3 linked regions of the Callithrix jacchus genome follow. The protein of the gene in region 3 binds, or shares a complex with, the protein of the main gene of each other region. Links are inferred from orthologs where the notes say so. Each region holds a gene or a part of one and is shown on either strand. Other genes may lie near its edges.

Evidence for each region. Proteins that work in one complex are often made in the same cells at the same time.
Region 1: the proteins of BACH1 (region 3) and FBXL17 are in contact, whole or in part, in a cryo-EM structure (PDB 8UAH), measured with the Homo sapiens proteins. The link is inferred for Callithrix jacchus from reciprocal best matches to the Homo sapiens genes BACH1 and FBXL17. Residues at the interface, in NP_001177.1 of Homo sapiens: Val20, Leu21, Ser23, Leu24, Gln27, Val32, Leu33, Asp35, Phe39, His48, Arg49, Ser50, Val51, Ala53, Ala54, Cys55, Ser56, Ser57, His60, Ser61, Arg62, Val64, Asn72, Thr74, Pro76, His116, Asn117; in NP_001156787.2 of Homo sapiens: Asp395, Arg421, Asn447, Gln473, Gln498, Glu499, Met524, Arg548, Cys574, Leu575, Tyr598, Val600, Ser601, Asp623, Trp626, Met651, Arg652, Val676, Gln678, Asp679, Cys680, Arg682, Thr683, Glu685, Gln689, Trp692.
Region 2: the proteins of BACH1 (region 3) and FBXO22 are in contact, whole or in part, in a cryo-EM structure (PDB 8S7D), measured with the Homo sapiens proteins. The link is inferred for Callithrix jacchus from reciprocal best matches to the Homo sapiens genes BACH1 and FBXO22. Residues at the interface, in NP_001177.1 of Homo sapiens: Ser7, Val8, Phe9, Ala10, Tyr11, Glu12, Ser13, Ser14, Val15; in NP_671717.1 of Homo sapiens: Asp366, Gly371, Asn372, Phe373, Ile374, Leu375, Arg376, Lys377, Cys378.

Annotation. Positions count from the first base shown.
Region 1 is NC_133503.1:101,701,474-101,711,591, forward strand, and holds the start of FBXL17 (F-box/LRR-repeat protein 17), read left to right. Parts: upstream 1-4,373; 5' UTR 4,374-4,791; coding exon 4,792-5,793; intron 5,794-10,118. UniProt on the Homo sapiens protein: Substrate-recognition component of the SCF(FBXL17) E3 ubiquitin ligase complex, a key component of a quality control pathway required to ensure functional dimerization of BTB domain-containing proteins (dimerization quality control, DQC).
Region 2 is NC_133509.1:25,091,590-25,101,921, reverse strand, and holds the start of FBXO22 (F-box only protein 22), read left to right. Parts: upstream 1-4,587; 5' UTR 4,588-4,615; coding exon 4,616-4,758; intron 4,759-5,114; coding exon 5,115-5,253; intron 5,254-10,332. UniProt on the Homo sapiens protein: Substrate-recognition component of the SCF (SKP1-CUL1-F-box protein)-type E3 ubiquitin ligase complex that is implicated in the control of various cellular processes such as cell cycle control, transcriptional regulation, DNA damage repair, and apoptosis.
Region 3 is NC_133522.1:35,356,780-35,367,019, forward strand, and holds the start of BACH1 (transcription regulator protein BACH1), read left to right. Parts: upstream 1-4,287; 5' UTR 4,288-5,015; exon of another isoform or gene 5,016-5,136; intron 5,137-7,118; 5' UTR 7,119-7,141; intron 7,142-10,240. UniProt on the Homo sapiens protein: Transcriptional regulator that acts as a repressor or activator, depending on the context. Binds to NF-E2 DNA binding sites. Plays important roles in coordinating transcription activation and repression by MAFK.

The DNA of each region.
Region 1 (10,118 bases), on a different chromosome or scaffold from region 3:
TATAGAATTAAATTTACTGAACACCTGGGTGTTCCACGATTTCCAGATGCACAAGACAATGTCTTCTGCCCTCAGAGTGCCTTTCTAGGCCACCCATCACACTTACCACAATTATTGGGATCAACGGCACAAGAACTTTGTTCTCCTTGACAAATGGTGCTATTGGATGTTTTAGCTATTTACCACAACCACCATTACCCAACTTCAAGCTTGAAAACTTTTTACACAGGCTGTCTTTTTATAGGAAAATGTGAATTTCAAAGTGAGTATAATCTATGTTAGCAAAGAAGAAAGAAAAATGTTTTTTACGTGTTTTGTAACATTTTAAATTTATATACTGGTTTTCAGTATGAATCTCAGTATGTCACAACTCAAATCTACCCTAGGTTGGGATACTATTCAAATACGTAACTATTTTACATTACAGAATCCATTATTTCATCACAGTAAGTTATTCATTGAAGTAAGTCATAAGAACATAAAATTTGGGTGTTCATTTTCTCCCTATATCCATCATTCCCTTCCCTCTATCCGGTTCAGAAAGAATTCATTAAATCCTGACAACTCCCATCAGAAATGTTTCTCAATAACAACCTTATTTCATTATTCTCAGAATGTCTAAGTTCCTATTTTCTTTTTTAAGTTTCACTCTTGTGGCCCAGGCTGTAGTGCAATGGTGCGATATAGGCTCACTGCAACCCCCACCTCTGGGGTTCAAGCGATTCTCCTGCCTCAGCCTCCTGAGTGGCTGGGATTACAGGCATGCATCACTGCACCCAGCCAATTTTTGTATTTTCAGCTGTGTGGGGTTTCACCATGTTGGTCAGGCTGTATCGAATTCCTAACCTCAGGTGATCTGCCCACTTCATCCTCCCAAAGTGCTGGGATTACAGGGGTGAACCACCATGCCTGGCCCTAAATTCATACTTTTAAGGCCTTGTCACTAACCTTTTGATCAACTTTAACTGGTCTTCCTTCCAAGAGCTTGCTTCTTCCCTAGTCCATCTTCTACATAGTAGCCTGATTATCTTCCTGAATACTGAACAAAATTCCTGTCCTCATGGAGCCTATGGTATAATGGAACAAACCAAAAATTTTTTGAAACGTGACAATGAGTTACAAAAAAAATAACAACAGGGTAAGAGGAAAGGGTAAAGGAGGGAGTCACTTTAGATAGGCTGGTGACATCTGATTATAATAAATGCTAATGCCCTTCAGCTAAAAAGCAGCAGGAAAACACCTAGAGTCAAATGAAGCTGGGTTTAATGACTCGTTGCAAGGGGTGGGGGTGGGGGTGGGGGGCACTCTCCGTAAGTGGGTATTGGTATTGTGAAAAACATTTCAGCTTGGGTTAGGTGATTTTGGGGAAGTGTCAAGGTTTTGCTCTGGATTGAATGCTGGCAGGAAACAGGTAATCCTGTAATTGAATATTTTAATATTTGTTATCTAGAAGGCAGGAAGAATGGAGCAAGACTAAGGTTGTAATTGGTCAAGAAGCGGTGGTGACTTATATTAACCAGAATGTTTGGTCATCTTTGTAGTTTAGAGACTGTGCTTCTATTTGGTGTGTTTAGACATGATTATGAAGGGGTCTTATTTTTGTCTTGTCTGTTACAGTCACAGAGAGACGATAACCGATATTGACGTTTTGTGAGATTGTTTATATTTGATAAAACACTCAGAACTAAGAATGCCAAGACAGCTGCCAGTACCACAAATACACAGCTAATAGTGCCAGTACAGCTCCAAGCTGTCCAGGGTTGGTTCCCACTGCAACCCAGCTCCCTCTGTCCCCCAACAAGCAAAGCTATCAGCTGTTACATTTGTCCCTATAATTGCAATTTATGACTCTTATTCATAATTTTGTATCTTTAACATTTACAATAGTATTACTATTATTTAGGGTACTGAGTTCCAAAACTCATTGTGGCTCTCCTGATAATAGTAGAGAACTAGTGGTATGATGATGGTGGGTGATGAGAACAGACATGCAAAATATCTTAACTAAAAAAAACAGGTATTATTTGTCTGCAGAGTCCAATAGGTAGACCAAAGACAATCTGCTTGTGGCTAAATGGTTTAGAAATTGGGAGTAAGAAAACGAATACTGTAAATTTTGTCAACGACTTCAGAAGTCCCAGAGTCAGTTGCTTCATCTCTAAAAACACGAAGCTGAAGTTGGATGGTGTGTGTAGTTCTGATATATTTGCATGGTGCCAGGCTGTCTGTACAGAAATCATATAGGGAGCTTGTTATAAGCAGGTAGAGATTCAAGGGCCTCATCTCCAGAAAGTAATAATCATCCTAAGTTTTTGAGACTCATCCATGTTTTTTTCTTTTGTTGCTGAGTTGTATCTAATTAGATGAATATATTGCCTTATTAATGATGGACATTTTTGGTGACCACGAATAAAGTTGTTAGGGATATTTTTGTACAAGTCTTCTTATTGATATATGCTTTTATTTCTCTGGATAAATACCTAGATGTGGGACTGCTGGCTCATAGGGCAGATGTGCATTTAACTTATATGAAATAGATAGGTCACATTTTTTTAAATCAAACTGGGACTCACTATGCTACTCAAAATGGAGTATAGTTGCTATTCACATGCATAACCATAACAAACTGGGTTCAAGCAATCCTCATCCCTCAGCCTCCCCTGCTGCAGCTTGAATGATGGGTAGCACTACAACTGGTTCTGACAGGTTCACATTTTTGACATAAAGCAACAAAACATTTTATAATACTCTTGCCTTTGGTCAAAGTGCAGCCTAGTAGAGATGTCAAAGGATCTGTTATAAGGCCTCAAGCACTGCCCTGGGGCCCAGGAAGATACCCTACAGGCAAATGGAAGAAAGTTATGTGGATTTTATCTGTAGGTAAATGTAGTTCAGGCAATGCATTTGATAATATGTAGGTGAAACCTTTTGACAAATATATCGCCTCCAGGGTTCTTGGAATTCCACATCACTGTCATTAGGCTCTGAAAAATGGATACCTGAACATGACAGACTTAAGACTAAAGTCATTTCTGACAGAGGACAGAATTAACAAATATTTGATAGCATGTTTGAGTGGAGGCTGGGTGGGGCTGGCCACTGTTAACTCTCAAGTTATCCTTAGCAGATTTTTTTTTAAACACCTGACACTTCCACCCTTCGGCAGGTAAACAAACTCTATCTAAAGGAAAATGGAACCTAAAGAAAGAACTCTTTCACCTTCCTGTTAGAAACATCCATCTTGCCTTCTTGATAGCCTTGGTCTCTCATAAGTTGCCAAGCAATATTTCCTATAACAAGTTTAACTCCCATTGTCAAAAAAAAAAAAAAAAAAAAAACCATACATCTATCTGTATCCATCCTTTATTCACCTCTCCTCATTCTCTGTAATCACAATCAAGAAAAGCATCCTTCCTAAGTACTCTTCATTCCACCTTCTCCCCTTATTTCTCTCATTAGAGTGGCTCATTCCCATCGGTATTTGCCTCCTCCAATTTTTCCCTCGTGAAAGTTAACCTCGATATTGTTAAACCTTCTAAAGGATTGCCGGCACAGCTATTTACTCTTTCTAACCGGGATCACCAAGGTTTGTCATACAGCAGGCACTGCACCTTCATCTTTAAAATACGTAATATATGACTAGACAGGATTCCGAGGGTGCAGATAATGAAGCTATCTACAGCTTGTAGCCTGGGTGTTGCATGGCTCACTGGATGAGGAAACTGCTTATCCTTCAGCTGTATATGGGTAATTTGATATATGCTTTCATTCTGAAATAAAGTTGTGGAAAGGAAGTAGTACGCAACAAGTACGAAAACAAGTGGGGAAACAGTGGTGCGGTACAACCAATTAACCCCTCACACGACTTGGGTGCGCATCACCCAGGAGCCGCGCATCTGCCACTCCGCTCGCCGAGCGGTCAGGGCTCGCACAGGCCCTTCCGGCGGAACCCGCCTAGTGGATTCGAAGAGGCCTCAGTTTCCGAGTCGGGAGTAGTGATGGGGGTGGAAGGTGAGGGGAAAAGCCAAGGGGCTCCCGGCCAATGGCAGCTCTTGAACTTACACCTCCGGACGTCAGCGCGGCTGTGTAAACGGATGTCACACAGCAGGCTCGGAAGTGTCTCCTCCCGCCTCAGAAACGTGGCGCACGCCCAGCAGGCTCGGAAAAAACCTTAGGCGGCGGGAGGGAGGGGCGTGCGCCGCACCTCGTGAGCCCAGAGTCCCGAGCCCTCGCCGGCCGGCCTCCTCCCCGCAGTGTCTCTGTGGCAGCCGTCCCGGTTGAGCAGCTGGGCGCCGGCGTCCTAGCCACAAGCGCGCCGCCGCAACTGGCTCCGCCCCTGCCGGAATGGGCCGCGCGCTCCTGCGGCTCTCAGCAGAGTCGCGGGCGCGCGCGCCGCCGGCAGAGCCGCAGTTAAAATGGTCCGAGCGGGTACCGGCGTTGCCCCCGCTGCCGCGCTGACTGACTGAGCCGGCTGACCGGGCCCGACTGGTCGCCTAGCCGGCAGGCTCGCTCGCTCCCTCCCTCCCTCGCGTCCCTAAAGCTCGCTCCCATCGTTCTCCCGGCTTCTCTGGGCAAAGCATGTAGCCCCCTTCGGGCACTCCGGCGGCCCGCGGCTAACGCCCACCCCCCTACCGTCGCGTGTGTGCCCGTGTGTGCGTGTGTGTGCGCAGAGCGGGCGACCCCGCTGCGGGCCGGAGGCCGAGCCAGCGAGCGGCCTGCCCCGCTGCCGGGAGCTCGCCTCTCTGGGCCTCCCTCCCTCCCGTCCTGGTGCCCCTCCTCGGGGCCTTCTATATGGGCCACCTTCTCTCGAAGGAGCCGCGTAACCGCCCGAGCCAGAAGAGGCCTCGCTGTTGCAGTTGGTGCCGCCGCCGGCGCCCTCTCCTCAGGCTGCCCCGCCGGACCCCAGCCAAGGTGCCCCCTCAGCCGGCGGCGCCCCGGAGCCGGGACTGCTTCTTCCGCGGGCCCTGCATGCTTTGCTTCATCGTGCACAGTCCCGGCGCGCCCGCCCCCGCCGGCCCAGAGGAGGAGCCGCCGTTCTCGCCGCCGCCGCCGCCGCGGGACGGGGCCTACGCTGCCGCCGCCTCCTCTTCTCAGCACCTGGCGCGGCGCTACGCGGCCCTGGCCGCCGAGGACTGCGCCGCAGCCGCCCGCCGCTTCCTGCTATCCTCGGCCGCCGCAGCCGCCGCCGCTGCTGCCTCGGCTTCGTCGCCCGCCTCTTGCTGCAAAGAGCTGGGGCTGGCTGCGGCCGCCGCCTGGGAGCAGCAGGGCCGAAGCCTTTTCCTGGCCAGCTTGGGGCCGGTGCGTTTCCTGGGGCCGCCCGCCGCTGTGCAGCTCTTCCGGGGGCCGCCGCCGCCGGCCGAGCCCCTTACGCCCCTCGAAATGGTGTGCAAGCGGAAGGGGGCCGGGGTCCCCGCCTGCACCCCCTGCAAGCAGCCCCGCTGTGGCGGCGGGGGTTGCGGCGGCGGTGGCGGCGGCGGCGGCGGTGGGGGAGGGCCTGCCGGGGGAGGCGCCTCGCCGCCCAGACCCCCCGACGCCGGCTGCTGCCAGGGTCCGGAGCAGCCCCAGCAGCCGCTCTGCCCCCCGCCCTCTTCTCCCACTTCCGAAGGTGCTCCCACCGAGGCTGGCGGGGACGTTGTCCGAGTCGGGGGCACCGCCCCCTCGTCCGCCCAGCAGCAGCGTGAATGTGGCGACGCGGACTGTCTGGAGCCCCCCGAAAACCCCTGCGACTGTCACAGGGAGCCGCCCCCCGAAACCCCAGACATCAACCAGCTGCCGCCGTCCATCCTGCTCAAGGTGGGTCTGGGCGAGAGGCGCAGGGATGCTCGTTTTCCCCCACCCCGGGCCCCCGCCTCCGAGGCTTTCTCTCTCCTCCCCCTAAGCGCGGAGGAGGGGGGGTTCCCTGACAGCCGAGGGACGTCCGAACCGGAGACTGGGAAGCCAGTGGGTCCTCTGCCTGTGGCCTATTTTTTGAAGTATAAGCACTTGGAGTCTACTGAATGTCTTCATAGCTTGACTCTATAACCCACCCTTCAGGGTTCAGCTATTATTAGAATCCCAACCCAGTGTTTTAGAAACTTCGCAGGCATTCTGTGGGGGGCGGGGGGGAGGGAATTTGTTTTTAATCAATTGAGGAATTTATAGTTAGTGGGTAAAGGCTTTGCATATCAGTGTTTGGAAGTGTTCAGACGTTACTTTCAGGTTTAATGGCTGGTAGTTAATGTCAAACAGTTAACTTTTATTGAGCATTTACCATAATCAGGCACTGCGCTAGAGCTTTATATATACAGTATCCCACTTATTTATCCAGTTAACGCTGCGAGATAAATATATTGTTAATATATTTATTTTATACAAGAAGAAACTGATTTCTCCGTGCCGTGGAGCAGGGTTTTTACAGTAGTGAGTCAGGAAGAAGTGGTCTTAGCGCCTATGGAGCTGACAGTCTAGTGGGGCTTGAACTGGTTGAATGACTTGTGCAAGGTCACATACAGAAAGTAAAGGGCAGATCCAGGTCTTGAACGAGGTAATTTAAGACTACTTGATTTAAAAATTCCTTTGTTTACTATGTGGTAATGCCCTCCTACATTTTAACCCTTACGTAAAAGCATACAGATTACCAGAGGTAGCACAGATGTATTTTTTTGTTGGGAGACCAGTGAGTAGAGGTAGGTGTCCTGGATGAAATTTGTGTCATTTTCAACTACCATATTTTGCAGTTTTGTCAATGCTAGTGACAACCTTAGTTATGTAATAGAGTTTTTATTAAGTTATTATTAACTTTTTTCCTCTTTTTCTGCCGTCTCTCACCCCACCCTTTCTGGGGCTTAATAAATATAAACTATTTTCATTGTGGATGATACTAGAGACTAGCCATAGATAACCTTGTTAAGAATTTGGCTACTTTTAATATTACTGAAGTAACTTTAATTACAATTGTTATTGTCACCAACATGGTTTATTTGATTAGACTTTTTGCATATTTACAGTACTGTGTGTTTGGGTCTGTTTTACTGTGGTACTAATGTTCTTGTGAATGATACAGCAAGAGAGTGGGAAAACTTACATTTCCTTGTGTCAAGATGTAATAATCTAATTCTTATGGTGGTATACTTGTTGGAAGAGTAATTGCTTACTCTTTGTGTGCAGAGGAGCATTTTAGGACAAAGGGAACTTTCTTGAGTCCTTTAAATCACTGGATGATATGGGTAAATAAAATACCAACAAATTTTTGGTGTAGAAGTTTGATTGCTGCCTTCTTGACGAGTAAGACTGTTTCGGAATGAACCAGAACAAAGCCAGGTACCTTCTACTTAAAACGTTATTTCATGAAGTAAAAAAAACATTTTAATATCAAGAAAAAAAAAAAGGAAGGACGTCTCATAATAAGGAGAAACTCTAATAGAATAAAATAAATTTATTCTATGAATTCTGCATTGTTCTTTTTCATATTTTTCCCTGTGGGTGGTTGAAAAGTTTGTCTAAAGGACATTTGGGAATTACATGGGCTTACCCTTTTGTGTGTATTTGGACATGTTTTGTAGATTTCCATTTTTTGTATTGGAAAACTCTAATAAAGATTCTCTGTCTGAGTCTCATGGTCCTAGTGGTATTCAGCACGAAGTGAGTTGTACTATCTGGGATGAATTGAATTAGAGATTGTTCAGTGTCTGCCAACCCCAGTTTTTGGGGGTAGAGACTCAGGATTCATATCTTGTTCATTGCTTTCTCCTCCTTTAAGTGCAGTGCTTGGCATATAGTAGCACTCAGTAAATACTTAAGAACAAATGTATGCTTAGGTGTTTAGAGTCTGTGCTGAAACTCGGGGTGATATGCCACACTACGAAGAGACATTTCTAGGGAATGTCCATATTCTTACTAGAGTTTGAGCCACAGTAGAGCCTTGTGGTGGTGAAAGGGTTTTGGCTCTGCTTCTGTTAAAGACTGGAGTTGTTTGACTTGGAGAAAGGAAGACTTAAGGAGCTATGACAATTATTTTTTTCTGATATTAGAAGAGTTGTTGCATGAAGAGGCACAAGTCCATCATCACTATTGGAAAACATTCTCTGAAATTATGCCCTGTTTTGGTAGTGGGTCCATAGCTATTATAATTGTATTGCTTTTATAGCTGTAAAAAAAAAAAAAAAAATGAGGCAGGTAGAATTTGGGAGAGAAATGTGAGGATGTTTAAAAATTAAAAAGATGTTTCTGAGGAAAGCTACCGTGCTTGCCCAGTGGTGTTTTTTATTTTTTTAAATTTTTTTGGTATGGCAGAGGAGAAAAACTAAACTGTGTTATATCAGAGGCCGATTTGTGGCTCAATGTCAACAAGAATCTTTCTCCTCTATATAGGTTAATAAATATGATGTGCTTTAAAACAGTCAAAAATGCATTTTAATATAATAGTTTCTTTCAAAAGTTGTTTAGCTTTGGCAGAATATCCTATTTTATGCTTATTACCCACATCTTAAATTTCTTCACTTGGATAAACAAAACAAATCTGGATTTAGTCAATGATCTTTGGTTTATGACAGCCGTCTCACTTTTTTAAAAAAGGAAACTAACCTTCAAAGAAGATAATAGCATGTTTAAAACAAGATGCTACTTGGTTCCAGTGACCATGCCTATGTGTTGATTGTTAACTGACAAATTAGCCCTTCAAGACCATTTAGTCCTTTAACCTTAAAAAATGATCTAGGCCCCCTAAGTTTTTATTTTCTCATGTGTCAGATAAGGAGGATGAGCATAAAAATATCCACAAGAAATTTACTTTGACCTGTGCCTGCTTGAAGAGTTTGGTGAATATTTTCCACACACAAAGAAGTATAAAACTGGCAAAATTGCCCAAAACTATTTGAACTCTGGAAATCAACTAAAAGCAAGGAAAAAAATTGAGAAACATTTATTCTTAGGAAAACTGTTAGAGCTTCAGGTAAGAATAGCCCAAGTCTACAGCATTCTTGCATGGGCCCCTACTATGACCTCTTGCCCCAGCACCTTTGGCAAAAAGTGTAGTTTGGAAAACCAGCAGCTTTGCTGTCAGAGAGCTGATTCAATTTGGGGCAATGAGTAAAAACCTTTGTCGATAAAATATAGTGAACTTGGTAGGGAAAAACAAGGAGAAACCATATATTTTCTAGTTTAAGGTTGTAGTGTCAGTTGGGATGAGTGGAAGACTAGCTATAAATTAAAAGGCTGACCCTGGAAATGAGAGAACCATAAAGGGATAATCTCTACATATCCCGTCATATTGTGAAACTGTGCACATGTGTAGGGGATACCTGAGGTTGTCTAACTGAGAGCAAGGTTCAAGGCAGATAAGAATTCTCTAAGCTTTGAATGTGCCCTTCTTAACCCAAACACAGATTGAAGAGCAGGCTCAAGCTGTTTGAGCATATCTTTGGCATATACATAGCTAAAAACTAAGCTATTTAGACACAGGATAACTTCCCTAGAAAGCCAGGATAAAACATGTATATGTGAATTAAAATCTAAACAGACGTATTCACACTGCCCAGAACACAGATTTCATAGTTTAAGGCCAGACATGTTGAAAGGCTCAGAAATATAAAATTCTACACTGACTGTTATCTAAAATGTCCAGTTTCTAACAAAAAATTATGAGACATAAAGAGACAGAAAAATGTGACCCATACTAAGGGAAAAAGAAAGCAGTTAATAGAAATTGACTCTGAGTAAGCCTACATATTAGACTTAGCATAGACTTCAAACTATTATAAATATGGTAAAAGAAAGGAAGCATTATTTAAATAATTACAGAATATAATGACATTTACCCAACAAATTGGAAATCTCAATGAAGAAATTGAAGCTATAAAAGTGTTTTATTCTTTTTGATGCTATTGTAAATGGAAGTACTTTCTTAATTTCATCTTCAGATGAGTCATTGCTAGTATATAAAAATATTTGCTTATTAGTGCTAAAATTAATTTTCGTATTCTTTGGGATTTTTCTCTATATAAGATCATGACATCTGTGAATAGAGGCTATTTTAATTCCAACTCCACAATTTGGATGCCTTTTATTTATTTTTCTTGCCTAATTGCCCTGGTCAGAGTCTCCAGTACAGTATTGCATAGAAGTCATGATGCAGGCATCCT
Region 2 (10,332 bases), on a different chromosome or scaffold from region 3:
CTGTATTTTTCCTGATAAATACACATACTGGTCACTCCTTATCATCTCTTTTTCTTGAAAAGTGAACTTTTTAAAGCAGTCAAGTCACCATCAGGCTACTGAAGTCGTGGCTTTAGGGTAACTTTTCTATATTAAGTCCGTGGGTTATAGGATTTGCAATTTATTGTTCCATTTAGAGCCAATACAAGTTTAATCAATGTTCAATATTGGTTTTTGAAAATTTAAGGCCTTCTAAAATCATAGTAGCTCTTTCATGTTTAAAACCATTTTATGATAATGCCAAAATAATGACAGGAAACCTCATTAAATTGTTAAACTTTTTATTGACTATGTGAAGATATGAATTGTTCCCTGAAGATAAAATCTTAATTGAGTTATATTGTACTTTTTAGGCAAAGCAGTTAAAACTATGTTAATTAAGGCTTGTGAGTAGTGGTTTCCACTGGGGCTTCAGAGTCTTGCTGGGCTGAATATGCTGCTTGTTGGTTCAGCGTTTCTTATGAAGAAGAGCCACAGGATAGAGCTGAAAGTTATTTAAAATACTGAGTCATCTTTTGTTTCCATTTTATTAACGGGATGTTGCAATCATTTGTAAATTAATAAACTTATAAAGTGATTGGCACAAAGACTCCTTGAGGAAAAGCTGCACAGTTAAGTACAAAAAGATACTTCATTTGGAGATTCTTAGAATAATTTTCACCATAGTCATAAAAATGGCTTTTACACTGAAAGATTAATAGAAACTTTACATATGGTAATTTTTTTTATAGAACCTGACTCAAAGCAAGGTACTCTCCATTTTATTGCCTTACCTGAATCAGTCCTTTTTTGGTTGGTAATAGTTATTTTTAAACACTCAAATTTGATTTAAAAGTAAATTCTAGCTATTAAGCACTTTTAACAAGAAATTCAGAAGCACATTTTTCTGCACAAACCAGTTACAAAGTTCAAAAGTGTTTTCTTATGCATTTGCTTTGAGATTCAGTTTTTTTTAACTTTGTAAACGACATCCAAGAGACTTGGCACTTCTACATTATAGGTGTGTTTAATTTCTTTTGATTCTATTTTGGTTAAGAGGGCAATAAATAGATTTTCTGGTGTCTTTTTCACTTGGTTACATTTGTATGAAGTTCTGAGTGCCAGTTGCTCAGATAACAAGTGACAAGGCAGAATTCTTTAAAGCATTAAAGTTCCTTAAACCTAAGGCTAAATCTTGAATACATTATTGAATTCTTTAATATCTTGATGGCAAGCAGATTGATAGCTGCACATTTGGCATGCTTTGTTTTATGGATTTTATTTTTAATTGCAGATTTTATTTGGCAATCTACAGTAAATTTTGTAAACTTGCATCAAGTTTATGAATAAAGAACTATTTAAACATTTTGTTTGTGCTGATCATAGCAAGCAAAAAAGTACTTTGTCATTTTTCCCACATAAAAAAACTGCTTGATGTGTTTGTAGGCTCTCTTGAGTTTCTGGACTAAGATATTTAAGGAGGGAAGGGGTAAGAGGAGGCTTGGAAGACAGGTGGATTTTTTTTTTTTTTTTTTTTTTTTGAGACGGAGTTTTGCTCTTGTTACCCAGGCTGGAGTGCAATGGCGCGATCTCGGCTCGGCGCGATCTCAGCTCACCGCAACCTCCGCCTCCTGGGTTCAGGCAATTCTCCTGCCTTAGCCTCCTGAGTAGCTGGGATTACAGGCATGCGCCACCATGCCCAGCTAATTTTTTGTATTTTTAGTAGAGACGGGGTTTCACCATGTTGACCAGGATGGTCTCGATCTCTTGACCTCGTGATCCACCCGCCTCGGCCTCCCAAAGTGCTGGGATTACAGGCATAAGCCACTGTGCCCGGCTAAGACAGGCAGATTTAACAAGAGAAAGTGAAAGAACCTAGAAATGGTCTGTACACACTTGGTATAGTCACCTTTTCCTCAGCCTTTTTTTCTCTTCCATTCTCATTACAAATTCAAGTGCTACTTTTTCCTTATGACTATCCCTAGTTCCCACAGTTACAATAATCTGCTCCTCCTCTAGTGTACCCATGGCCTCCTTGCACACAATTGACAGGTTATTTCACATACAAGAAGTCCAGAGGTAGGACAACTCCAGGTAACTGTACATATGGGTTTTGCTCTGCTTCCTTGAGATTTTTTTCTATGTTGGTTTCATCTTTTGGTGGCATATATGCAGCCACATTACTTGATCCAGAGACAGATAATGCCTGCCTTTTAGTATCTCCTTAGGAGGTGAGGAAATCTCTAAAAGCACCATCCCATCAAGCACACTGCCTCTCACTTTTCCTTGGTTAGATCAGGGGCCTGCGCCTACCCCCAAACCAATGGCTGGTGAAAAGAATGAAACCATCATGATTAGTTGCACAAATGGTTCTTAAAGTGTGATTTGGTGGGGAACACTGGAGACCCCTGAGACAATTTTAAGTTTTAAAAGACTATTTTCATAATATTAAAACATTTGCTATTTTCACTCATTCCTTCACGAGTGTACAATGGAGTTTTCCAGAGGCTACGTGATGTAATTTTGCAACAGACTGAATTCAGAAGCAAACAAGAGAATCTACCTGTCTTAAGACAGAAGGAACTATAAACTGTCCTCTTTCCCTACTTTACATCAGCCACAAAGAAAGAATGTCTACTCAGAATGGCAATCGGGTTTCATTCAGTAGCCAGAGAATGGAGAAGGGGAGCTAACCCTCTAAAGGCACCTTTTTCCAGAAGGATGGGAGGCGGGGGAGTTGAAAGAGTTGGCCTAGCGGGGGGCGAGGGGGGCGGTGGTATGAAGGGCATGCGCAGGCTGGAGTTGCAGACAAGCAGGCCCAGTCCCTGAACATGCTGCTAAGATGCCAGTGATCTTCCTTCAGGGGAGAGGATTTCAGCATTATAATGTTAATGATCCAAAGGTAACTGGAGGTTGCCTGTTTATCTTCTGGTATTTGGCAAGGGGTCAGGAAGCTTTGGTGATAACTAGGCCACCTGGCTTCCTTAAGTAGCTGTGCCTATAGACTTAAAAAAAACTGGCTGGGCTTGGTGGCTCATACCTGGAATCCCAACGCTTTGGGAGGTGGAGGCAGAGGGATATTTTGAGGCCAGGAGTTAGAGACCAGCCTGGGCAACAGAGAGAACTTTCTCTATGTCTACCAAAAAAAAAAAAAAAAAAAAAAAGCCACAGCTGTTCAAGAGGCTTATACCAGTGACAGTGTCACCCTATTTACCAGTTGCGGGGGGAAGGAAGATTTGGGAAATAGTTGAATTCCACAAAAATATTTTGTTAAGGGGTAACATGTTTTTTAAAAGTATTAAGATGATTTAATTTTTTTAATATGGTAAATATTGATAATCGTAACACAAAACTATTTGGTCGTGTGGATATTTTAGGCGTAAAGGGTCCTGAGGCAATAATGAGAACCGCTAATTTAGACCAAGTTTCTACTCAAGTTCTGGCGATCAAATCAGGGCTCCCTTAGGAAGGAATTGGAGGGAGAAATGGATGTTCGGTGGGGACGCACCCGTGTCTGCTGTGCTTCCATATCTTCTGTGGTTCTCAGTTTGAGCATGCATTAGAATCGCTATAAAGTTTGTTAAAACATAGATTGCTGGACCTCACCCCCAGTGTCTGATTCAGGAGGTCGGGGTTAAGGACTGGGAACGTGCCAAAACTTAATAGTTCCCAGGTGAATCAGATGTTACTGGCGGGGAACTGGTGCACAGCTTGGGGCGTGCTTCACTGCAATTATCTTACTTAACTTCCTTAGAATGGCAGGTGCTATTTATGCCATTTTACTCATTCAAAACTTTAAACCTGAAGATGACAACGAGTTAATTAAGTTTACAAGGAATAAAGGCAGTGATTTTCACACACTAAGACAATTTTTTAAAAGCAAACGCTGTCAGTTCAAAAATTGAGTTTATGCTATTTAAACAGGCTTTGGGGTAAGTACTACCTAGTCCCTGCAAGGAATCTGTGAATTAGAGAAAGATGTAGGCTCAGAAATATGGCGGTGCCGGGGAAGTGAGAGGCACAGAGAAAGAATTTATCTTCACTGCAGGAAGCCTCCTAGAAAGTTGCCCAGCACCGTGGCTCATTCATGCCTGTAATTGCAACATCTTGGGAGGCGCAGGCGGGAGGATCGCTTGAGCCCTGGAGTTTGAGACCACCCTGGTAAGCACAGCGAAACCCGTCTCTACAAAAAATACAAAAATTAGCTGGGCATGGTGGCGGGAGTCTGTAGTCCAAGTTACGAGGGAGACTGAGCCAGGAGGCTCGCTTGAGCCTGGGAGGTAGAAGCTACAGTGAGCAGAGGCCGCGCCACTCCACTCCCGCCTTGCCACAGCGAGACCCAATCTTAATGAAAAAAAAAAAAAAAAATTTCGGGCGTATTATGGGACGGATAACTTCAACTTCAGAGCAAGGGCTCCAGGACCTGCACCGGAAACACGGTGGCCAGGGGTCGCACCCGCGTTGCCACTCCCACCTTCTCCGTCAGGCGGAAGTGGTGCGGGCGCCTGCTCAGTGCGCGCCGGCCGGGCAATCGTGTGCCGGCGAAACTGGGTCCCTCCGAGCCGCCGTAGGACTGGTTCCGGCGGGCTGGTGAGGAATGGAGCCGGTGGGTGGCTGCGGCGACAGCTGCGGCTCCTCCTCGGTAGACCCACGGAGCACCTTCGTGTTGAGTAACCTGGCGGAGGTGGTGGAGCGTGTGCTCACCTTCCTACCCGCCAAGGCATTGCTGCGGGTGGCCTGGTGAGGAGGGGAGGCGGGAAGCTTGCATCGGGACACGCTGTGGGCATATCCCAGGCTGGCGGGGTGGGGAGAGACCCTGGGGACCCAGGACCACCCCCGGCTCCTTCGCCCTAACTGAGGTGACCTCCACCCGCGAGGTATCTTCCAGCTGTAGAGCCCCCGGGACTTCCCTGAGGAGTGAAGTTCCCCTTAAGGTTTTCTCCACAACTGACCAGCGCCCTGATACCTACTTCCCCCGGGGGCTTCGGTTCCCGCAGAGATCTCTTGCTGCTGCGCCTGCAGGTGGGGGTTTGTGAGCCGTGGGAGAGACGAAAATGAACGTCCATTCGCGATCTTTTGTGCGTTTGCGTCCCCAGCGTGTGCCGCTTATGGAGAGAGTGTGTGCGCCGAGTGTTGCGGACCCATCGGAGCTTGACCTGGATCTCCGCAGGCCTGGCGGATGCCGGCCACCTGGAGAGGCATTGCTTGGTTCGCGTGGTAGCCGAGGAGCTTGAGGCAAGTAGCAAGGGGTGTCATGCACAGTCAATTGCAGGTTGGTGGTTCAGTCTTTGAGAACTATTTTTTTTTTTAATCCCAGTTTTGTTAATTCAAGGAACATCTCGTGCCGTGAAAAAAATTTGTGAACATTAGTTTTAGTGACTACACTGTAAGAATGTGTCATGATTTATTTGACCGTTCATCAAATGTTGTGCCTTATAATCCACATTTTCCATTGTTTCCGTTGTTTCCATTAACAACAACGATGTGCAGAACCTTATCTCCACCTGCTTCCCTTGAAGCAAGTTTTTGTTGTGTCTGTTTTACTGGGAAGGCAACTGGGTGTGTTTTGCTCAGTGTAGCACACCTAGAAAGCCAAGAACCAAAACTTAAAGCCAAATATTTCAACTCCCGATCCTGTACTCTTTGGCTTCTCTGGCCCCCAACTTCAAAAGGGGAGCCAATACCTGGAGAGGTAAAGACTCGGACTGTGGAGTCAGAGGGGCTGCAGGGTGTACCATCTCTCTGAGGAGTGGGAGGGCGCCATTTGACAGTGAAGTGCCAATCTGATGCTCTGTCATTCTTTTTAGTTTCCTGCGGCTTACAAACATAGCCACGGTGCAGCCGTCATAATCAGGAAATTATCACTGATAGACTTCGTCTGTTTTATCCTCAGACTCGGTTCAGGTTTTGCCAGTTGTCTCAGTAAGGTTCTTCATGGCAAAAAAGGTCTGTTCTCAATTGCAAGTTGCTCTAAATAAGTCATGTTTCTTTAATCTCCTTTGATCTGGAACAGTTTCTCAAGCTTTGCTTGATTTTTCCCAAGCCTGACACTTAGGAAAATTACAGGCTATTTTGTAGAACATCCATCAGTTGGCAGTGTGTGAGGTTTCTTACTAGGTTGTGTTTCTTACTAGGTTTGGCAGGAAATAATCACAGAAGTCATGCTGTGCTCTTTTCACGGCATCCTTTAGGTGGCATGTGATTTCCATTTGTCTCTTTATTGGTGATACAACCTTTGATTACTCGATTAAGGTTGTACCGGCCAAGTCTCTTCACTAAAATCACTTCTGTAATGATTAAGTGTTTTTTGAAGAGATAATTTGAAACTATGTAAGTGTCGTGTTTCCTATTCGTTTATTTATATCTGTACACACTCTCCAAGTCTTATTTCAGTGGGATATAATCTGTTACTGTGAGTATTTATTTTAGTGTTCAGTTTACCCCGGACCCCCAACGCCAGTTTGGCTAGGGGGAGCTCCTTCAGGCTGACCTCATTGTCTTTAGAGATGACTCCTTTATCTTTGACCACTTGTCTGGCACAAGGTGTTCTAAGCTTGTCTTGGGTTTTACCTGCTTGGGTCCTGGCATTGGCCATTTGTCCATGAAACCCTGGCTCCTTTTGATAGAGTGTGATATTTAGCAATCAAGATCTAGATTCTCTAAATGTACTCCTTGCCATTGAAGGATTTGCTGCTCCAAAGCTCAGTCATTAGAGCCAAGGAATATATGTATATACATGCATATGTGTGTATATAATCAGCATATATGTATACACATGTGTACAACTATATTTCTGTGTGGAAACTCATGAGTTCACACAGGTGCAACCTTTCGAATCAAACGCAGGATGCTTTCTAGTTTTGTCTCTGCTCGTATCTGTATCTCCCTTTGGGCAATGGGAAACCTGGTTCTCATCATTCTTAATGTATTTAGGTATTACATCAATGCCCCATACGTAACCAATCTTCTGTTTCCCCCTTCCTTGGGTGGTCTTTCTCCTTACCCTGTTTGGGCTCTGGAACTCTCATCCCAGGGAGCTGGCCAGTATCCAAAGGCAGGCTTGTTAGAAAACTTTTCTTCTCTGGCACTTTGTCCCAACTCTTGCCATCTCTTTCCAGAAGTTTATCATTTGGAAAAATTAAAAGTACAGGCAGACTTTTCCTCAAAAATATTCTCTGGAGCATCATTTATAATAAGAGATACTAAAAAGCTAATGTTAATGTAATGACGTTATTAAATTATAAACTGCAAGTACATTCATGACGAGAAAATGTTGATTTTAAAAGTGAAAAGACTGGGAAATTACATATTTAGTATCATCTGCATTGTTAAAGACAAAAAAGAGAGTAGAAAAGAAAGCCAGAATGTTAGCTTTTGTTTCTATTTAATGTTTTAAAAACTTTTCTCTCCGTTGTCATCGTTTTCAGATTTTTACCCCAGCAGGCATTATTTTCCTGTAGGTTTAAGAGTTTATACATTGTAGTGGCTGTATAGCCGGACAGACTTAGCTGTGAACCCTAGCTTTGGTGTACAGTGGGATGACTTTGAAAACGCTACTTAACCTCTCTGAGCCTCGGGTGCCATCTCCATAAAATGAAAAGAAAAATAATAATTTTCCTGTGCTCTTATAGAGTTGTTGTAAGGATTCAATAATGAAAATGTAATGCATATGACACATTACCTATAGTACAGGGAGTATAAGTGCTCAATAGAGGTCTATTAAATACTTTTATTAGTATCATTATTAAACTTCACAGAGTTCAGTAATGCCCTTAGAGGAGTGCTGCATTGTAGTAAACTGCTGGTGAGACAAACACACGAAAACTCTGCTTAAATCACACTTACTGATTGTGTTTTCCAAGTTATCTAGTGGACAATGGGTACGTTTATAGCCATAAAGAAAGTTGATTTAACTTTTCTATTAAAAATATTTTAAGTCCACTGGGCACAGTGACTCACACCTGAAATCGCAACACTTTGGAAAGCTGAGGCAGGCAGATCACTTGAAGTCAGGAGTTTGAGACCAGCCTGGCCAACATGGTGAAACCCTGTCTCCACTAAAAATATTAATATAAATATTTAAAATATTAAAATATTGAAAAAATATTAAATATATAAATAAAAATATTAAACTACAAAAATATGGGTGTGGTGGTGCAAGTCCACCAAAAGCTTTATAAAACAGCTTGCCATTTGTAACTTCTTTGAACAGTGAAATGTGGTGCTAGCTTTCTTACACTGTGCTTTGAGAACATTTCATATTGAGGCTTGTTATGTCACTGCTTCTAGTGTGAATTAGGAAGGAAAATTCAGCAATTGCTTTTCAGTGGCTGCTAGAAAGGGAAACTCATAAAATCTCAGGACCAGACTTTTAATCAGGAATAGGAAACCTGAGGCCTAAAAGTTTGATGCGGGTTATTTTCCCAGTTTGTGGCCACTGTGACCTAAGACCTAAATCTGGGTGTGTGTGTGTATGTGTTTTGAGACTTTCTCACTCTGTTGCCCAGGCTGGAGTGTGGTGGCCCAATCTCACTGCAACCTCCACCTCCCAGGTTCAAGTGATTTTTCTGCCTCAGCCTCCTGAGTAGCTGGGACTACAGGCATGTGCCACCACACTTGATTAATTTTTGTATTTTTAGTAGAGATGGGGTTTCACCATGTTGGCCAGGCTGGTCTCAAACTCCTGACCTCAGGTGATCTGCTGACCTCAGCTTTCCAAAGTGCTGGTATTAACAGGCATGAGCCACTGGACCTGGCCCCTAAATCTCTTGAGTTCTGTTTCCTTTCCTCATTATACCAGGCATCACAGACTCAGATGACTCGAAGGTCAGGCAGGTAGCTGAAGAGGGTCGGGTAGCTTAACAGAGTGGTAGCACCATGGCAGACTGGAAAGGCTTGCTTCTGTTTAGCCTTAGTTAAGAGGCACATAGTCTAAGTGTTGCCATTGTGTCCAATTTTTAAAAAGAATCTGGAAATCCACATTTATGTAAAAAATATTTTGGAATTTGAACGTTAGCATTCAGTTTATGTTTTTTGAAAATGCTGTGTGGACCAAGGAAACCATATCCGTAGATCTTGGGCAGCCCTGGGCCCTACAGGTTATCATCCTGTCCCTTTTATTAGTTTATATAGAATGTATTCTATATATCCAAACATCTTGGCATTCCCCCAAATTATAATGGACCAACTTTTTTTTTTTCCATTTAACCAATAGTGAGGCTTTGCTATATCCTAAGTACTATATTTTATTTGGTAGTAAAAAAATTTTGAAAATAGCTAGCTTAGAAAAATATCTTCATCCTTTTCATTTAATTCAGCTACTTTGCCACTTGTTTTTAATTGGAAAGTTCAGTTGAAAACAGGTGAGTCTGAATAAGCCCAGCTCATAGGGAAGATAGGGCACAAATAAGATTAACTGCGGGTAAGGGATGTTGCATCTGAGGTCCAGAATACTGGGGGAGTTTAGGGAAAGGTTTTGGAGAGGAGGTGGCGCTTAAGGTGTCTCTAGAGGGAAACAGTCTTAAGTTCCACAGGAAGAGAGCAACAGGAGATTATATGGGGAAGTAGGTGTGTCTGGGTAATGTTAACAGTAAGCTAAGGGGCCCTGAAGGAAACTTGCTGGCAAGGCTGGATATGGAGGCTTGGAGTATTTGATTTGATAACCAGTGAAAAGAGGAGTGATACAGCCTGTATACCTTTCCCAGTTCTGAGATTTTTCTGTTACTGTGATGCCTGTTCAAATAAAGCAAGTGCATCTTTTGCTGGTACTTGATGTTTATGTTCTAAGAGCTTCAATTATTATGAAAGTGAACTTCTTGAGGGCTAGAATGAAGAAATAGGTGCTTAGAACAAAATGAAAATGAAAGAGCATGAGTGAAAAGTAAATGAGAAGTAGATGGACTCAGAATGCCAACATTGATCTGAAAGAAGGTAGAGTACCAGCAGTTTGGACCAGGTGATACTTTTTATTTTTATTTTTTATCATACTTTAAGTTCTGGAATACAGGTACAGAACGTGCCATTTTATTATATAGGTATATATGTGCCATAGTGGTATTTCTCCTAATGCTCTCCCTTCCCTAGCCTCCCACCTCCCAATAGGCCCTGGTGTGTGATGTTCCCCTCCCTGTGGGGAGTGTGTTCTTATTGTTCAGCTCCCACTTATGAGTGAGAACATGTGGTGTTTGGTTTTCTGTTTGTGTGTTAGTTTGCTGAGAATGATGGTTTCCAGCTTTATCCATGCCCCTGCAAAGGACGTGAACTCATCTTTTTTTATGGCTGCATAATATTCCATGGTGTATATATGCCACATTT
Region 3 (10,240 bases):
TATGTATTATGTCTCGTTGTCCAAATATTATGCTATTGTGTTCCTTATAGCCATGAATACATCACCTATCTGTATGATTTAGCTCCCTCATTTCTGAGAGCCAGGCAAGGCAACCTGCTATTAGAGGAGAAAATGATGGTGTATATATCTAGCTTTTACTAAAAATCATTCCTTAACTGTGGTTTATAGTTATTTAAATTGTTTTCAGTGTTAATTTAACGATAAGATTTTATTTTGGTAATAAAATCAGTATGATGGTCAGAAAGAGGATACGTATGTTTGGAAAAATTGGAAATATCATTTTTGAAAGAAATGTGACTATGCACATATATAATAACATCTTGTGAATAGTATTGTATATCGACAAACCTGCTCACAGCAGAAAAACTGGCCGTCACTTGTCACAGTCAATGAGAAGTACAAATCAAGGACACAGCAGTAAGCTGTGATGTCCAAGCTTCATGGATAAATTTTCCTAAAGAATAATGCACTAAAAACAAAACTACATGACAAAACAAGCACTGACTGCAAATCACTGTGAAACGGTAGCACAGCATCTTTATGTTGCGCTCCTAGTGATAGCATCAGGAGGCAGTCAAACGCCTACACAGTTAGGGGTGGGTCCCCGGTGAAACCCCACCTCCAAGCTGAAGACAGTTTAAAGCCTGCAAGTCAAGCTGCAAGTTAAATCCTCAGACCTGACTGAGAACTTGTCTTCCTGTTTGGCATGCTTTTTCCTGATTGATTCCCACCCTTCACCTATTTCACATATATCTACCCTTTCTAATTGGCTTTCAACACTGTTTTGTCCACCTTTGAGTGGTGTCTTTGCTTTAACCTGTTTTTGTGTGCTCACAAACCAATCATCATGCACTTCCCATTCTGAGTGCATAAAAGCCCCAGGTTCAGCCACATGAGAGGGGATTTTCCCACTTTTGGGTAGGGGAACCACTCCCCACATTTCCTCTTTGCTAAGAGCTTTCTTTGCACTTAATCAGTTCCATTCTACTCACTCTCTAGTGTATGTGACCCTTATTTTTCCCGGTTGTGAGACAAGAACTTGGACCCAGCTGAGGTAAGGAACAGAAAGACCACAACACTAGTCTACTCATCCCAGTTTCAAACTATTATCAATACCAATTGAAAGAAATCGGCTGGGCATGGTGGTTCATGTCTGCAATCCCAGCATTTTGGGAGGCCAAGGCAGGTGGATCATTTGAGGTTGGGAGTTGGAGATCATCCTGGCCAATGTGGTGAAACCCCGTTTCTACTAAAAATATGAAACCTAGCTGGGCCTGGTGGTGGGCACCTGTAATTCCAGCTATTCAAGAGGCTGAGGCAAGAGAATCACTTGAATCTGGGAGGCAGAGGTTCAGTGAACCAAAATCACTTGCCACTGCACTCCAGCCTGGGTGACAGAGTGAGAGACTGTTTCCAAAAAAGCAAAAGCAAAAAAAAAAAAAGCAATCACAATTTTTCTTAGTCCCCAAATCTAAATATTTTTTCTTCAATAGGAATTGAGCAGAATCACGTCTCATTATAACCCCAAGATAATTTTTAAAAATCTGTTATAGTAACATATTTTAATAAATGTATGAGTTAATGTAAAAGATCTTGAGGCTGATGTTCTTAAAAGTTGACCAGTGATGTAGCCTTTTTTCTTGAGTCTGTGTACAGTAGGATTACTCAAGGTTTGTTGGCCTGGTAGCTAATAATGTTAATGCTAACTCTGGAAGTCCAGAAGGCATAGGTCAGGACACACAGTTGTTTGTGAATATTTACACTGATATTCAGGTTTTAAAAGAAATATATTATAAGTGGTTTTGGTTCAAATCAAGAGAATACTGAAAACAAAAAGTGCCACATCTTTTACTGAGCATCATCATTCATTCATTCCTTCATTCAGCCTACAATCTGTTTCCACTCCCTTCACTCCCATTCCTTCTCAATACCAGAATTAGCTTTTTTTTTTCTTTTTCTTTCTCATTTTTCTTTTTTTTGAAATGGAGTTTCACTCTTGTTACCCAGGCTGGAGTGCAATGGCGCGATCTCGGCTCACCGCAACCTCCCCCTCCTGAGTTCAAGCAATTCTCCTGCCTCAGCCTCCCAAGTAGCTGGGACTACAGGCGTGCACCTCGACGCCCAGCTAATTTTTGTATTTTTAGTAGAGACGGGGTTTCACCTTGTTTACCAGGATGGTCTTGATCTCTTGACCTCGTGATCCACCCGCCTTGGCCTCCCAAAGTGCTGGGATTATAGGCGTGAGCCACCGCGCCCCGCCAGAATTAGCTTTTAAAAACAACCACATGACTTAAAAACCCCAACTCACTTCTTGCAGCCCATGGGATAAAGTCCAAACTCCAGGTGCAACACATGAGGCCCTTCTCATACAGACTCAGTTTCATTTCATTCTCCAATTTCATTTTTTGTCCTGTCCCTACTACGTGCCATAATCTCTAACTTAGTACTTAAGTGAAATGTGAAGACCATCTGCTTCAGTATTAAAAATGCAGATCTGTAGGCCTACTCGGATCTACAAAATTAGAATCTTTGGGGGGTGGGATCCAGGAATCTGCATTTTAACAAGGCCCCCAGATATTCTTACCCATACTGAAGCTTGAGAGTCACTCACCTGTGTTGATACTCTCAGCACATTGGTATACCTTTGTGATAACTTCTCAAATAATTAAACGTATCAGGGCATACATCATAATTTTCAGGCTAGAAAATATCACTGCTATTATCTAAAGCAAGAGTTCTTCCCAAAGTGGAGGGTTTGATCTTCCCCTAGAAGAAACTGCATAGGTGTAGGAAAAAAAAAGACTGTAATTCCACTGACTCAGGGTGGAAGCAGAATAAAGCCTCGGACACTCCCATGTGTCTGTAAGAACTCCAATCCTTCTTTCATGGTGTGTTTCCAAGTGTCCTTTCCTCGTGTTTCACTAAGTATCTGCACTTCCACCATGAACTCAGGCAGCCTGGGATGTGAAGTACCTCTTACCTCTGGACTGCTGGGTTCCTCTTCCCAATTAAGACCCAATGCAAATGTCACCTCCTCCAGGACCGCCCCCCCCCCCCCGTAATTCTAGGTCATAATGTATCACTTCACCCCTTGCACTCCCATCCAACTTCACGTATGTGATTTTTCTCATGTATTTTGGAGGTAACTCAAACGTCCCCAAGTCCCACAGCCTGTGGGTGCAAATGCGGTCGTGTTAGTGCTAATACCTGATTATTTATCTTGGTATCCTTTTTGCCCCAGGAACTCCAGGGCTGTCTTCTTGTTGCTGTCTCCAAAGCTAACAACAAAATCCCTTCACACAAATCGTCCTTTGGCTACAGGCCTCAAGGTCCGTGCCATCTCGCTGTAACCCTTGTGGGGTTGGCGTGCCCAGACCCCTCCACTGCGCGTGCACCCCTCTCTGCTGACGGCCCGTGCTTTGAACCCCAGAGGTGTTAAATGGCTTGGGAACATAATTTTAAAACTGACAGTTGGATAAACACCAGAAAAAGCACCAAAAGATGACAGTGGAACCCAGGCTCGAGATGGGCCGGCTGACACTACTGGGCGCTGAACCTGGCTGGAAGCTTCCTGGCAGCGACACTGAAAAGGGAACACCTGTCTTGGGCGCCCTTGTTTCACTGACAGTCAGAAGTAGAGCAACTGTTAGACGCTCTCCACAAAAACCTGGACGCACTTCACATGTGCCCACCAGCAAGCTCAAGTACCCTGTGAAGCTGGGCGTCCGCCACCCCCAGGGCAGGCAGCCGAGGGGCTTTCAAGGGGGTAAAGCGAGCCTTGTGGGGCCAGCGCCCGTTCTCCCTCCTGCTGTCCGCGGGCACCCTGGCAAGCTGCGCCTCTGCTGCATTAGGGCGTCCTGCAGTTCCTGGGACAAGGGGGCGCTCGGCTTTCCGTCCTGCCCTCAGAAGGGAGAGGAGAGTCGGTCCTCGAGTGGAAGTCAGCTCAGGCTGCGGGCTGTGCAGCGCGCGGAGGTCCAGGAACCTCACCGCCCCCTCCCCGAGGCCCGCCCCGTCCTGGCCCTTACAACCCCTCCCTGCAACCCCCCGCGTGGGCTTCCGGCCACTGCGACCCCGGCCGGCGCTACCGCGCTCGCTCGTTCGCTGACAGCCGCCTCGAGGGCAGCGGGGCGGGGCATCGGCCCCGGGGGCGGGGCCTCCAGCTGGCGGGCGGGGTTTTGGCGCCGCGAGGTGGCGGCGGCAGAGCGGCGCAGAAGGGTGGGGGCGGCTGGCCGCGCGGAAGGAGTGAGTCACCTGACCGCTGCCCTCGCCGCCCGCCGGGTTCGCTCGCTGCAGTCAGTCGGGCAGCGCCGCGCCTCAGCTCTGGTGAGTGGCTCGGCCGTCCTGCCGGCCTTCTCCGGGAGGGTTAGCGCGGTCGGGGACGCGGGCCTGTGAGGGGAGGCCCGCGGGCAGGTCCGGGGGAGGCGCGGGCGGGCCGGGGGCGGCTCTTTCTGGGCTGGGCGGGGCGCGGGGGGGGGGTGCCTGCCGTCCGAGTCCTGGAAGTGGCCGTGACGCCGGAAGGGGCGTCCCGTCGGCGCTCGAACCTCCTTCCGCGGCCGGAGCTGTTGTTTACCCGCGCGCGCCGTACTTTACTCGGGGCGGGCGGGGGCCGGTGGCCTTGGGGTCCCTGCCTCACCCCCTCTCCCCGCCCTCGGGCGCCAGCCCGGCCCCTCGCCCGCGGCCCGCTCGGGCAGTGACACATCAGCACCGCCCTCGAGGCTGGGGCCCCGTATTGTCCTCCGTCACCTCCCACCGCTTGCCCAGCCTCGCGTTTCCCCAGCCTGGTGCCTGTCGCGCGTGCAGTCGCGTGAGAAAGGCCGAGTTTGGGGCAGGGGAGAGAAGGCCACCGTGTTGAGCTAGATTTACCGAAGACTGGCTTTGGGGACCGGAGATCCCAGGACTCCCTTTGTTGGAGTTTTGCCCACGCTTTGTAATTAAGCCTCGCACAATATGGTGAGAGTGGGCGTTGATTCTGGAGACACCAGCTTTGTGCTCGGGTAATGTAACACGAGTGCCGTTGCTCTCTCATTCTACACGGCTGTTGCATGTCATTGAGTAGAATTGTGCGGAATGCTTTTATGGAGTGAGGCTTCTGCGTAAAATGTGTGCTGATTCCAGGTAAAGTGTAGTAGTAATTGTGAAAGAACGTGTATGGGAAGAACAAGCTACAATGTCATGCTTGGAGGAACAAAGACTGTTTTTGTTTTTGTAGGGTGCTGTGCTTTTTGAAGAATTATCTAGGTGTAGGGACTGTTGCCCATGGAGGATGCTATGGGAATTTGTTCATATATTTGAACCCTCTTTACATCCCAGAGGGTTTGCATTGAAGGCAATTCAGAAGGATAAAGGGTGGAAATCCCAGTGTGTTAGTGGCACAGCGCTTGAGCGCTTCACGTAGTCAAGCAGAGAAATGGGAAGAGGCCGGCTTCCTTCCTGGTCTTTGGGTAGTGGTGCAAGGGCTGGGCTGGGCTAGAAGGCACTTGCCACTTCTGCCTTTGGACATCTTAAAGTAGCCCAGGGAAAAAAAGGTTCCTGGTGAGTCAGCTTGGAGTAGAGTAGCTTTGGTGTACTGATTCTTGTATTGTTTTTTAACCCATGGTTCTGTCAAGTGGTTTACTATTGTTGAGTATGTTGGTTGGTTAACAAGGTAGGATGACTCTAAAAAAGTTGGGTTGCTGAGTCATTCGCCCCAGCTTGAGAGGTAATTGGAAACAGCTGGTGCAGATTCTCTAATCACATGCCTCCACTATAACAGGCCAAGAAGCGCTCTAGAGGGGTTGCTTCAGAAGGCTGAAGGGGACCCAGCTGGGTTGTTTTGATACAGGTATTCAGTGAAGTGGAAGAGCACTCTTAGGCAGTGGCCAGTAGCACTGAGGTGGTGTTTAAACACAGAGCCTTGTTAGCTGAAGTCTGAGAATAAATTTGCACTGGAGAGAGCCAAAACTTGGGAAGAAATTGGCAGCTAGGAGTAATCCAATAAACAGTATTGTAACAAAAATATTTACTACTCTTACTGGACTGAATTTCCTTTTTGTGGTTTTGTTATGTGGTCTATAAGTTTCAAGCAGTGAGCCTAATTTGTGCTTCACTACACAGAGCGGAGTTGCTCTGTTTTTCATGGCCCTTGGCTTTTTATGCATACACAAAAAATTTCAGGAGTCAGAGGAGGGTAAGCGCAATATGGGTGGAATTAACAGGTTGTATCGGGTCAAGTCTGGAAAGAGCTGTTTAATGAATGGCCAACCATATATACCTGTCTCATTGTCTTGATTGTATGACACTACTGTCTTTACACCTTGTGTCATTGCTTCTTGCTTTAAAAAGGAGCACACAACCCACACACAGTTTAGGAATGGGAAATGTAGAGCTGGGAATTTGGCCCTTACCTTTGGTGAAAAAAATGATTTCTACTAATGGTAGTTCATTTAAAACATTTTGTATTGGGAAAAACTATTTATTTTGTTACTTTAAGTCTGGGACTAGAGGAGATTAGAAATCATGAATTTTTTAAGTATTAGTGCCTCTAAGGTGGGGTGCAGGGGAGGTTCACTTGGAAATAATATATTAAAACTTTTAAAATGTCTTTTAAGAAAGACATTAAGCTTGAAGATACATTATGTGCATATTATATAATGTGTGTACATGAGCCCACTTCTTTTTTATTGGGGAGCATAGTCCATTCATCACCGTCAGTAACATTTTTTCAACAACTAGAATGCTTTTTCTTTTATGGTTTCCTCCTAAGAGTTCTTTCAAAATGTTCTTAATTATTCCATTTAAGTTTTATAGGTCTATTCTCTGTGCATTTTACTTTAAAGATTAGAAGCTTGAGTATAAACTTCTTGTTACATTGTGGATATTGGGGATGGAAATACAAAAAATACAAAATTTCATTTGATAACCTCTATATTGAATTTGGAGACAAGCTCACAGTTGGTTTGTTTAAATGTACTTGATCTGAAGTGCAGTGATATGTAAAAAGGTGCAATGGAACACTTGAAGATAATCTACACATTGGAGTGTAATATGTATATCGCAAATTTTGTGAAAATTACTTTGTACTGTTACTCCTTGAAGTCTTCTTTTTTTTTTCCCCCAAGCTTACACCCACTTCATGAAGATGGTAAGTGGCATTTATTCAGAATATCAATTTCCTACTAGTGGTGGTGGTGGGGGGATGAGGGTGGTTAGTATTTATCATTCAGTTGAATCTCATGTGCCATGTGCCTTCTACACACCTGTACTGTGAGAGATGATGTTCAGAATAATAATTGCAAAGCCCTTTAAAATTACCGCTTGTCAGAGCCTCTCTTTATAGTGCTGATCTCTCCATAACTTATGTTTTAGGAATCACCACTTCCCTCCTAATTTTCTGACTAATGTTCTGTTAATGAGAGAATTGTCTTACCCCTAAAACCTGCATTTCCTGAGCATTCTAAACAGAGGGTTTATTTTATGTGGTGGAGTGCTGATTTTTGAGATTGTTTTGATTTAAAGTATATGTCAAATGGGGTGATGTACTGATGTCCAAAGTATGGGCAATATGAACGCAATTCGCCAGAATCCAGGCCCGTTGGAGAGAGTAAAAATTTCAGGACTGCAGATAAAATATTGACTTACACTACCCCGAAGCCCGGGCATCTGGCTTGTGCAGTGCACTAACAACTGAAGTCGTGGGTTTGATCGCTGTTTAGTTGACAAAGAAGCAGTAAGCAGAATGGTTAAAAGTAGATTCGGAGCCAGACTGCTTAAGGTCAGGTTCTGGTTGTGTCACCCACTTTGAAGCCTTGGGCAAGCTCTTCTTCCTGGTAACTAGTGCCTCATTGTTTCCTCTGTAAAACAGGGATGGTGATAGTAATATCTGTATCAGAGAGATTGTTGTGAGGATTAAATGCGTTAATACAGGTTAAGTGGTTAGAACAGTGCCAGCTTTATAAGAAACATCAATAAATGTGAGATGTTATTATCTGTTGTTCAGAATCAGGGAAGTACTTAGTTACACAGCAATGTTTTATAGCTGCTGAGGGCTGAATTGCAGTCATTAATCACAAATGAGACTGAGGAGTGCAGCAGGTTGCTGCTACTGGAAAAACAACTTTGGGAACACTCTTATGTTAAGGCAGTAGCACCACATCTCAAACATACACCCAACTTCTGAGGACAAGGAACACAGGACATAGCTTTTTACTTAAAGAAATCTAGCAGTTTCAGCGGAATGCTTGAGATGGTCACTAACCAGTTAATTGAAACACTTGCCGTCCTTTGCCTAGTTTGTTCCACGTTGTAGTTGAAGACATTGTGGCCTGGCAGCTTTGGTAACCTGTCCACCCCTCCCTGCTTAATACCAGGACAGAACTAGTTTCTCAGTACATATTCCTGGGTACATATTCAATGTTTGTTGGAAACATTTGGAATGTAAATTTGTTTGCCAGTTAGTTGCTTCTAATTATTTTGTTTTCTTTAGATGATATGTCTATAATAATATAGAAAAATTATCCATGAAATGGATATGAATACAGTGGATATGTTTCTCATATAGCTTCTGGTACCTGTTAGTAATTCAGAACGGTCGTGTTATTTTGACCATTCTCTCAACCACAGTGTAAGTTTCCTGATGGTGAGAATCTGTGTCTTTCTGTTTGGCTGTGTTTCTTTAATAAACTGTTGGTTGCTGGACTAGGTGGTATGATATGGGTTCATTCTAGTTCTGTGGTTTTGAAACTTGGGAATGTTTAACAGATTAGAGGAGAGAACATTGTGTGTTGTACCTTGTAAGTCTGCACTGAGTTGAAATTCTTTTGATTATTTAGCTTTCTACTTTCTGTTTTTATCATTGGTATAAGTATTGAGGAAGCAGCTGGAATTAAGTCATTCTAGTTCATCTCCTAAGATAGACATAAAACTTGTGACTTATTTTTACTCATAATTGGCTTAGAATTGAGTTGAACAAAATATAATTTGGTTTTCTAGATAAAAATGTCTTATATGTCTAATACTTTGAATGTCATCACTCCTCTAGAACAGATTCTTTGTTTAGGATCAGGGACAGGTTAGAAAAGTGCCCCAAAGCAAACATGAGGAAGAAGAAATAGTGGTAGCCAGAACCTTGGTTGTTGATGACCATTGTATGAGCATATGCAGTGAAATTGTCTGGCAGCTGGTTCCTTTCTCAGTACCTACACAATTTAGAAAATGTTACGTTAATGTAGCTGAAATTGTTTGCAGGTCATGTTACTTGGAAGATAAATGTAAATGCTTTTCTAAATGCCTTAGGAAAGTCGTTAGTTCAAACTAACATTTTTGTAATAAACTATTCCCAGTTTCTTTCTTTTTTTTTGAGATGGAGTCTCACTGTGTTGCTCAGTGCAGGGGGCATGATCTCAAGTTCACTGCAGTGTCTGTCTCTTGGTTAAGCAAGTCTCTTGCCCCAGCTTCCCTAGTGGCTGGGATTACAGGCCCCCCCACCCCACGCCCAGCGAATTTTTGTATTTTAGTAGAGACAGGTTTCACCATGTTGGCCAGCCTGGTCTTGAACTCTTGACCTTAAGCAGCCTCCCAGAGTGCTGGGATTACAGGTGTGAGGTTCTGCACCTGGCCCCTAATTATTCCCAGTTTCTATCAGGTAAAGTTATTTTCACTTTTTAAATTTATGGTTTTTTAGATCAGATCAGTCATAGTGGATAGTTGCACTCCACTTCCCCATCCCTCATTAAAGTGGAATTAGACTAAAAAATTATTTCAATTCCTTTGTAGCCTGGACATTAGTAATAGCCTACCTCCAGGGCTATAGATTAATATAGTAAGGGTAATGTCCCTCCCTCCCCCTACACACCTTTTTTCCAGTTATCTCTTCTTATTATTGACTTGTCTGCCTCCAGGACCTTAGGGAGGTGTTTTTGTTTCAAGGAGGTGAACTTCTCAGGTTCCTATTGAAGAAATAGGGAGACCTATCCACCCAACTTCCTGTTTACTGATATCTTCATATGCTTAATGCCTTATGTTTTCTAAAGTGGACCAGTGTCTTTTGGAAGTCAGCTAAATTAGTGCAGTTGCTTGTCCAACAGACAGTTTGTTATAAAATGTGTGGCTATAAAAGATTGAATAAATTTATTAGGTTGTAATTTCATTAACATATATTTTATATTTAAACGTTATTTTAAAAAACGTACAGTGGTTATCTAATCTTGGCCCAGCCTGCTTTAATTTCCAATGTACCTTATGT